2 linked regions of the Rattus norvegicus genome follow. The main gene of each other region encodes a partner of the protein of the gene in region 2 in a complex. Links are inferred from orthologs where the notes say so. Each region holds a gene or a part of one and is shown on either strand. Other genes may lie near its edges.

The links. Proteins that work in one complex are often made in the same cells at the same time.
Region 1: the proteins of Aagab (region 2) and Ap1s3 are in contact, whole or in part, in a crystal structure (PDB 9DDT), measured with the Homo sapiens proteins. The link is inferred for Rattus norvegicus from reciprocal best matches to the Homo sapiens genes AAGAB and AP1S3. Residues at the interface, in NP_078942.3 of Homo sapiens: Asn51, Lys52, Tyr53, Tyr54, Glu108, Val109, Met110, Ile111, Gln128, Ile132, Gly135, Phe136, Glu137, Asp151, Phe153, Pro154, Glu155, Arg161, Gln164, Ala165, Asn167, Ala168, Asn169, Val170, Met176; in NP_001034658.1 of Homo sapiens: Arg10, Gln11, Lys13, Arg15, Gln37, Leu40, Ser41, Arg61, Tyr62, Ala63, Ser64, His85, Val88, Asp92, Phe95, Val98, Glu100, Leu101, Asp102, Ile104, Phe105, Asn106.

The regions. Positions count from the first base shown.
Region 1 is NC_086027.1:88,402,700-88,406,199, forward strand, and holds part of Ap1s3 (AP-1 complex subunit sigma-3), read right to left. Parts: intron 3,325-3,500; coding exon 3,187-3,324; intron 2,076-3,186; coding exon of another isoform or gene 2,031-2,075; exon of another isoform or gene 1,885-2,030; intron 1-1,884. UniProt on the Homo sapiens protein: Subunit of clathrin-associated adaptor protein complex 1 that plays a role in protein sorting in the late-Golgi/trans-Golgi network (TGN) and/or endosomes.
Region 2 is NC_086026.1:72,977,309-72,981,568, forward strand, and holds the start of Aagab (alpha- and gamma-adaptin-binding protein p34), read left to right. Parts: upstream 1-1,460; 5' UTR 1,461-1,494; coding exon 1,495-1,567; intron 1,568-4,260. Other genes in the region: Iqch (IQ domain-containing protein H), read right to left, coding at 1,168-1,218. UniProt on the Homo sapiens protein: May be involved in endocytic recycling of growth factor receptors such as EGFR.

The sequences.
Region 1 (3,500 bases), on a different chromosome or scaffold from region 2:
CTGCCCTGCGTTAGCATGAGGTGACTCAGGGCCTGAACTCTGTCCTACCTGCCCTGTCTGAGTCCTGCTATCGCTCCAGGAGCATAAGGAAGTCATGTGAGGATTTGTTACTTTCTTGAACTTGCCACTGAAAAGGGTTGGAACCGACTTAAAACTGGGACAGCATCAGATCTTTGTCCTCCCCATGCCTTCATGAGACTTTGCCTCGAGTCGGATCGTGGGACCCACACCATGGTGTGGCATTTGTACCTCACACTCAGCCCTTTCCCACTGTACTGTAGTTTTGGTTTATGCTTTGAAGGTAGAAGTGTTGGAGCTCACCAAGCGGTACCTCATGCATCACGGATGTGTGAGATGGCCTGCTGCTGGAACTTCATTTGACCTTCCCCTCTCGACAAGGTATGGTCTATAGAGATTATCCACTAATGGCTGCCCCCTACTGGTAATTTTGAGAATTACAATGTCTACTCTTGAGTCTATGTTTCTGTCTCTATCAGACTACCCACATTGCAGCTGCTCCCTCCCATATAAATCACCCTCTTGGGATGATCAACATCTAACCTGAATACACTCAGACTAAGCTTTGAGCACCTGGGGCTTTGAGCCTATTGGGTCTTCTTAGGAAATATGTGAAAATAACTTTGGTTTTCCTCCCCTGCCCTATGAAACCTTCACTAAGTGTAATTGGGGGAAGGGGGTTCTAAGAGCTACTTCAGCTACTTTAGTTGTTCTAAACCAGTATTTCTCAACTGTGGATCACAACCCTTTTAGAGGTGGAACATCAGACATCCTGTGTATCAAATATTTAAATTACGATTCATAAGGGTAACAAAATTATAGTTATCAAGTACTAACAAAATAGTTTATTTTGTGGCTGGGGGAGGGGTGTCACCATAACCTGAGGAACTGTATTTAAAGTTCACTCCATTAGGAAGCTTTCGAACCACTGTTCTAAAGGGAAGACAATGTCATAATGGCCTTCCTTGGCCTCTACGGATATGTGTTTAGGACATATTTGTTCCTGAAGGTCAAGAAATAAAGGGGCCATCTTTCTCCTTTGTACAATCTTAACATTTTCTCCTACACATTTCCTACTTCCTGAAGCAGAACAGACAGGTATAGTCAATTTCTCAACAAGCCCCCCCCCTCCAAAAAAAGACCCTTGACATCTCTGGAGGGGATCCCAGAACCCATGAGGACACTAGCAACACTCTCATTGGCCAGCTCTGTGCATTCAACAAGTGACATTTAAGGTCAGCCACAACCTTTCCTGCTTTCTGGGGCACAATGTTTAAGCCAGGGTCTCTGAGGAAACCTTTCACACTGCCCGTTCAAATCACCAGGGACAGGAACGAAGCCATTAGTGCCTCACTGAAAAAAGGGCTCACTCCTGAAAATGCCTGGTCCCAAGATTTAAATGTAACTTGAAACACGGATTCACTGAAATCCCGTAAAAATTTGTTTTCTGCAGTTAGAGGACTTTGAAATAACCTAGGTATGCCTTGACCTCAGTTCATGAAGCTTTAATTACTGAAGTGCCAAAGCCCCCGTGGAGACTCTATAAGGAGCTCCCCTCTTCTGTAAGGAGTTTCCATCTCAAAGAGCAAGAGGAGAGCCTCAGAAACAATCCCCACTTCCTACTCCCTGCTTCCCTGCCCCAGCATATTTTAATAAATGCTCTTTTGTGGAATTTCCGAACCACTGATTTCTTCGGTACCTCATAAAATCCCACTTCTTGTGGCATTTGAAAAAGTCAAGTAAGACTCAGAGAGGTCCAATATGTTTCTTTGAGGGGACAACACCTCTAGCAATAAATGCATTAGCCTAAGGAACGCAGAGCTGCTTATGAGAGCCCACCCTTCGCTTCCTTCACTTCTACTCACCTGAGGATGGAGTCCCTCCATGGGCAGAAGTAAGTAATCAGCTCACAGTACTGCCAAGACAGCTGCTGGGAAATCAGGCCTAATGTCTTATTAACTTAACCAGTCTCTTAGCTCCAAATAGCAGGAAGAATGACTTTAGCACCAGTTTTAAAAAGGTGCTTTATAATTCTTGAAATCCTCTTGACTCTTGACCTGTTATGAAAACAGGAAGATGGAAAACCCACTGAGGCCAGGGGTGGTACATGCCTGTCATCCCAGCAAAATGGGAGGTTGGCAGGAGGATCGTGAGTTCAAACCCAGCCTGGGTTACACAGTAAGACTCTGTCTTTAAAAAAAAAAAGAAAGAAAGAAAAAGAAAAAAAAGAAAAGAAAAGAAAGGAAAGGAAAAGAAAAACAAAACAAAACAGTAGAGTGGAGGAGACAGGGAAAAGAAATGTCCCTTTTCCCACTGACATTGTTGGCGAGGTGGGACAGAATCTAGGCACCTGGAAACACGCTTGGTTTAGGACTAGTCAGAAGTTCCTCATTTTAGAAGGCAAGAGTTGGTGGAAAATCGCGATCTTTTTGAGTGTCCTTGTAGACGCTGATGTAGGTTATGTTCCCCTATTAGGTCTGATTCAAATCTGGGATGCTTCTAAAAAGTCCCAGGATATTTTATGAGCAATCACGGAGTCAGAAGGAGCACCAAGCACAGGCTTCAAGACCCATTTATACCTGTGTAATCCAGTTACCAACGCTCCTGATTTATTTATGCAAACAAGAGTGCACAGACCTAAGGCCTTCCCAAGAGAGGTAGGAAATTTCAATTAAAATGACAAATGCCATCTCCGATGACGCAGCTCTAATATTCCCAGCAAATGAAATAACTAGGTGCTGCTCTTCTCCCATCCCAGGGCAGAGCAGGTATTTTAATGAAAGCCTTTTTATGCATCTCATAAAAGTACATTTGCAAAGAATAGCACCAAGCATTTCATACACTTCAGAGGGTAAGATATTTTTCAGACCCCGAAGTTCAGCTGAACAGGGCAAGCAAAGATTCAAGACCAAACTGTGAGGGCCCAAAGCTCTGCTTCAGATTTATTAACTACGAAAACGAGCAGGACATTTCAACTCAAGTCTCCATTCGCTCGCTATAAAACAGGCTAACACCTAGTTAGAACTGCTGAGATAATTGACTAAGCTAACACAGGTATATTATTTAAAGTAGAAGCTATGCTCAGAACAGATTGTGGGTGTAGTCCCCAGTGTTAACTCTATGATAATTAGTCCTGGAATCATCCCACACATAGAAAACCATACTGACCTCTTGTAACATATCAGAGTCTTCAATGGCCTTGACCGCTGTTTTCTTGGATGTTTCCTGAATTTCTCCACCTATTATAAACTCGTCAAGGATAAAATATGCCTTCTCAAAATTAAAGATAATGTCCAGCTCACAGACCTGGCAAGGGGGGGAAAAAGTTTAGATAAATTTGTAGTAGAATCAGGAAGGCACCTGCCACCGTCCCCCAGTTTGCCAACATGGCCACACGATTCAGGTATATCCAAACGCAAAGCATCACATGGCATTTCACGGGCATAAAGATGGGAGCAGAGAAACCCAGACCTTAACAAAGG
Region 2 (4,260 bases):
CCTTGGATGACTACTCTGATATCTTCCCTTATGGGACCCTTCTTAGTTTTGCTTTTGCTTCTGATTATAGGTCCATGTGTGTTAAAGAAACTAGTTAATAGGTTTGACTCCTACAAAAAGATAGAGACGCTCAACAAGGTTGGTTTGAGTCTTGGTTCACTCGGTCTCCCTGGATGACTACCCTACTCTCTGCTACAGCTGGGCCACTACTAATAATTTTCTTGGTTTTAGTTTTTGGACCCTGCATGACAAACAGGTTAATTGCTTTTGTTAAAAATTGAGTGGGTGCTGTGCGGTTGATGGTTCTGAGACAACAGTACCAGTCAGTTAGGACAACTGGTGAGACGAAATACGAGATTTGATATCAAAATTCTAAGATTAGAATTACTTAGTAGAAGAAGAGGGGAATAAAAGGAAAATTATACAGATTTAAGGTTTAAAAATATAAAATTAAAAGAGTAAGTTTCTAAACACTGTCCAGGCAGGGCAGGGCCTGCCCTACAGCCAAGACTGACAGGCCATAAAGATACAGAAGGGCACCTCCCCCAGCTTACTCAGAGTCACACCTTAACCAGATGTCTTTCAAACCCTGATAAGCCCCTAGACTCTAAAGTCCTGTACGCCCCAGTCAGCACGAACTCTTCTGCTGTGTTGTCTGTTTGAATGAGCCAATCACTTATAGCCGCGCCAAAAATTAGCCAATTGTGTGTAACCGCGCCAAACCCCCTAGCTTTCCCTATATAAACTCCTGACTTGAGTTTCGGGGTCGACACCTCTGTCTCCTGCGCAGGATACGTGTCAACCCGGAGATCCCCGTAATAGATCTCTGTAATAAACCTTGCCTTTGCTTATTACATCCAAAATGGTCTCTCTGTGTCTGGGGTCCGCGATTTCCCGCGACTTTGGAAAGGGTCTCTCATTCGGGATCGGTGTTTCCTAGGGCGTGCCATCCTGAGACTCGAGCTAGGATCTTTCAATGCAACCTAGCGGTGGAGCATTTGCTTGGCGCTCGCCTAGCATGTTCTGGGTTCAACCCCCAGAACATAATGCCCTAAAGTGTAGGTGTTTCCTGCTATGTAGCCGAGAATGAATGGTGGTGCTTAGGGAGCACAGGTTTCGGGGTTCAAGGGGAGGTTTGTGCGGCCGCCAGCCCGGCCTCTTTCCCACCTGGATTAGGATGGATCCAATGGGGTCGTTGAGCTCCTGGGCCTGAGCCATGACTGAGGCAGGCAGAAGGCGCTTGGCTCCGGAGGTATGGCCTTCTCCGGAGCGCTTCTAGAAGCAGGCACCAGTCACTATAGCAACGCGGCGCGCGGAACCGGCGTGCTCCACAGGAGGAGCGGAAGGGGGAGCTGAGGGCCAGCTCGCGCCTCCGCTACCCAGCGCGCGGCCCCGCCCAGAGCGCGTGCCCGGAGCGTCTCCCCCGCGCGCCGGCCTCAGTGGTGCGGCCCAAGGCGGAAGCGGCGCCGGCGCGGAACCCGCTCTGCTGCAGCGATGGCTGCCGGTGTTCCTTGTGCGCTGGTCACCAGCTGCTCCGCCACCTTCACCGGGGACCGGCTGGTGCAACGTAAGTAACCGGGCTCCTGGGCCGGGCTGCAAGGCCCGGTTCGGAGCCCCGGGCTCAGGGCCGGTGATTTCTCCCGGGCACTACCGGAGCTGGGCCTCAGGCTCTGACTGCTCCGAAGGTGTCCGCGCCCCGCGCTCAACCCTCTTCCTGTGTAAAGTGAGGCCAGTCTCCGACCTGCTGCTTCAGGGGTGGTGTTAGGGAGCACCCCCTAACATGATACCCAAGGCCCCGGAAATTGTGCCCTTAGACGAATGTAAGGCGCTGGAGTTGTGGTGTTGTGTTTGAGGGTTATGTCCCTGCTGCTGGGGTAGTGTTTCCTCTTGTGAACTGAAGTGCTCAGAAAAAAAGATGCACGTGCGTTAGTGTTCTGCAGGGTGATCGACCGACCAGGACGCCTGTGGTTGTGGAGAGCTGGAATTTTTCTAACTATAGCCAGATTCTTTAGTCTCCTTCTTAGCAGTTTGTTACCCACCTCCGTGTCTGACCTAATATCCTTGTAACTATCGGGTAAAATCCTTTTGGGAATAGGCAAACAGACCCCTAGCTTCCATCAACCCAAAGGCTAAATTTTATCAGATGGTATCTGAGGCCTACAGCAGAGGTTCCCCGATGTACTGCAGTCCTCCTACCTGATGTTCCCATCAAAGTATTTTTTAAAACAACCTGACCTATGGCTTTGTTGTTCTTCTAAAAACATTATGAAATTGTTATTACTATGTTGGAACATTTGATTTGAGGCAACCCTGATTCTTGTTTCCTGTTCATGATCACTCTTATTTGGCTCCAGAATAAATGCTTACTCTTCTAGAAATGAGAGCTGTGGGCATTCTTGACTCCCCTTGGTATACATGTGTGTGTGTGTGTGTGTGTGTGTGTGTGTGTGTGTGTGATGTATATATACACGTACATACATACTCGTGTGCACCCTCACCTGCAGTTAGATTTCCTGTGCTCCTCCTGCGGTGCAGGTCTCCACCAGAATGAGTTTGAGGTGTTACTGCATCCAGTGCTTTTGCTTCTGGACCCTAAGCATTGCTATGAAATTCAAGGTTTTTTCTTTCTTTCTTTGTGTGCATACACAAGTGTGTGCTCTGTTTTTCAATACCATTGTCCTGTGCATACTAAGCATGGCACTCTACCTCTGAGAGAAACCCCAGTCCCCCCACCCCAAAACGAGCTCTGAAATATAGTTCAGAGAGACTCGTGAGATAGAGTTAAGGAGCCAGGTCACTGACCAGTTCTGTGACTCACTGACTGTGGGCACGTGACTTAACCTCTGCCCTTCATGTTCCTACATATGGTGTGAGGATTATATTTCACCACAGGCCAGCATGTGGCAAGCATCGGATAAGTGGTTGGCATTGTTATAACTGCCTATCACCTGTTTAACCCAGCCTTGCTGATCCTTAAAGGGGGCACATGAACAGGTGTTTGGAGAGACAGTGGATGCTGACTTGCATATATGTCATAACCTGTGAAGAGCATCATACGGTTTGTAATTATTTGTTACACCTGTCGACAAAATCAGGCACGCTGCCCTTCCAGCACAAATATTCTATAATTTGCTTATCGTGACCACATGGGAAGTTCCTTGCTAGGGCAAAAGCTTAATTACAGCACTTACAAATGAGAACCAAACTCTCCACCCTTCTCTTACTTCCCCTAAGCAGTACCCCTCCCCGCCCCCGCCAGGTCCCTCATCTTTGCCCCTTCTACTTCATGTTGAATTATTAAAATTTAGCATATGGGGAAAAATGTTAGCTAATATTTCATTCATTCTTTCTTTCTTTTCTTTTCTTTTTCTTTTTTGCAGTTTCCCTGGGCCCCTGCATAGTTTCTGTATAATTCTACTTCATACGTAGGTTTTAGCCTGGGATGTGTGTGTGTGTGTTTTGTTGGTGATAGATCCCAGTGTCTTGTGCATGTTAAGCAAGTGCTCTACTACTGAGTCACAGCCTCATCCCCTATGCTGATATTTATTTTTAGCATTAAGTCAGAAGGAACTTTCTATTGTACATCCATATAGTGAATATACCAGAGGTTTCTCAAGGTGTTTATCTGTTATGTCATTTGACTTTTTATAAAATGTATATTCATTTAAATTCCCACTAGTGATAGACGAATGATCTTTCAAAGGCAGGTTCAGGAATATTATATATTCTGATAACTATGGTGCTCTGTCTTCCTCTCATCCCCCAACAAGGTCTTGCTATGTCTCCTAGGCCAGCTCTGTACTTGTAGTCCAAGTGTTGAGCCCACCATGCCTGGCCCTGTCCTGTTTCTCAAAGATCAGAACTGGTAAATGTGGTTGGTCATTGCCTTGAAAGAGCTGGTTGATCACCGATAGCCAGCAAATGGTGACATTCTCCCTTTGTTCTTCAGTAGAGACTCTGAACATTATTGGAGGGTGAGGTTCTATGAAGTAGCCCATTTTGTTTCTGTATGCAAAGTGCCTTAGGAAACTAATTCTTGTTAGAATTAGGTGCCACTCATTAGTGCTCCACCAGTCAGCAAGAGAAGAGCAGAGCAGCCAGCAGATGATTTAAATAAGTAAATCGTGAAGAGGGCTGGTCAGTCCTTCCTTCCAAGGTCATAGGGACGGGGCCGAAGATGGCATTAAAGACTGAGTTACAGTATTCAGGGAATGAATTTAATTTGGGGATGAAAGATGGAGACCATCATGAAAAGTAACT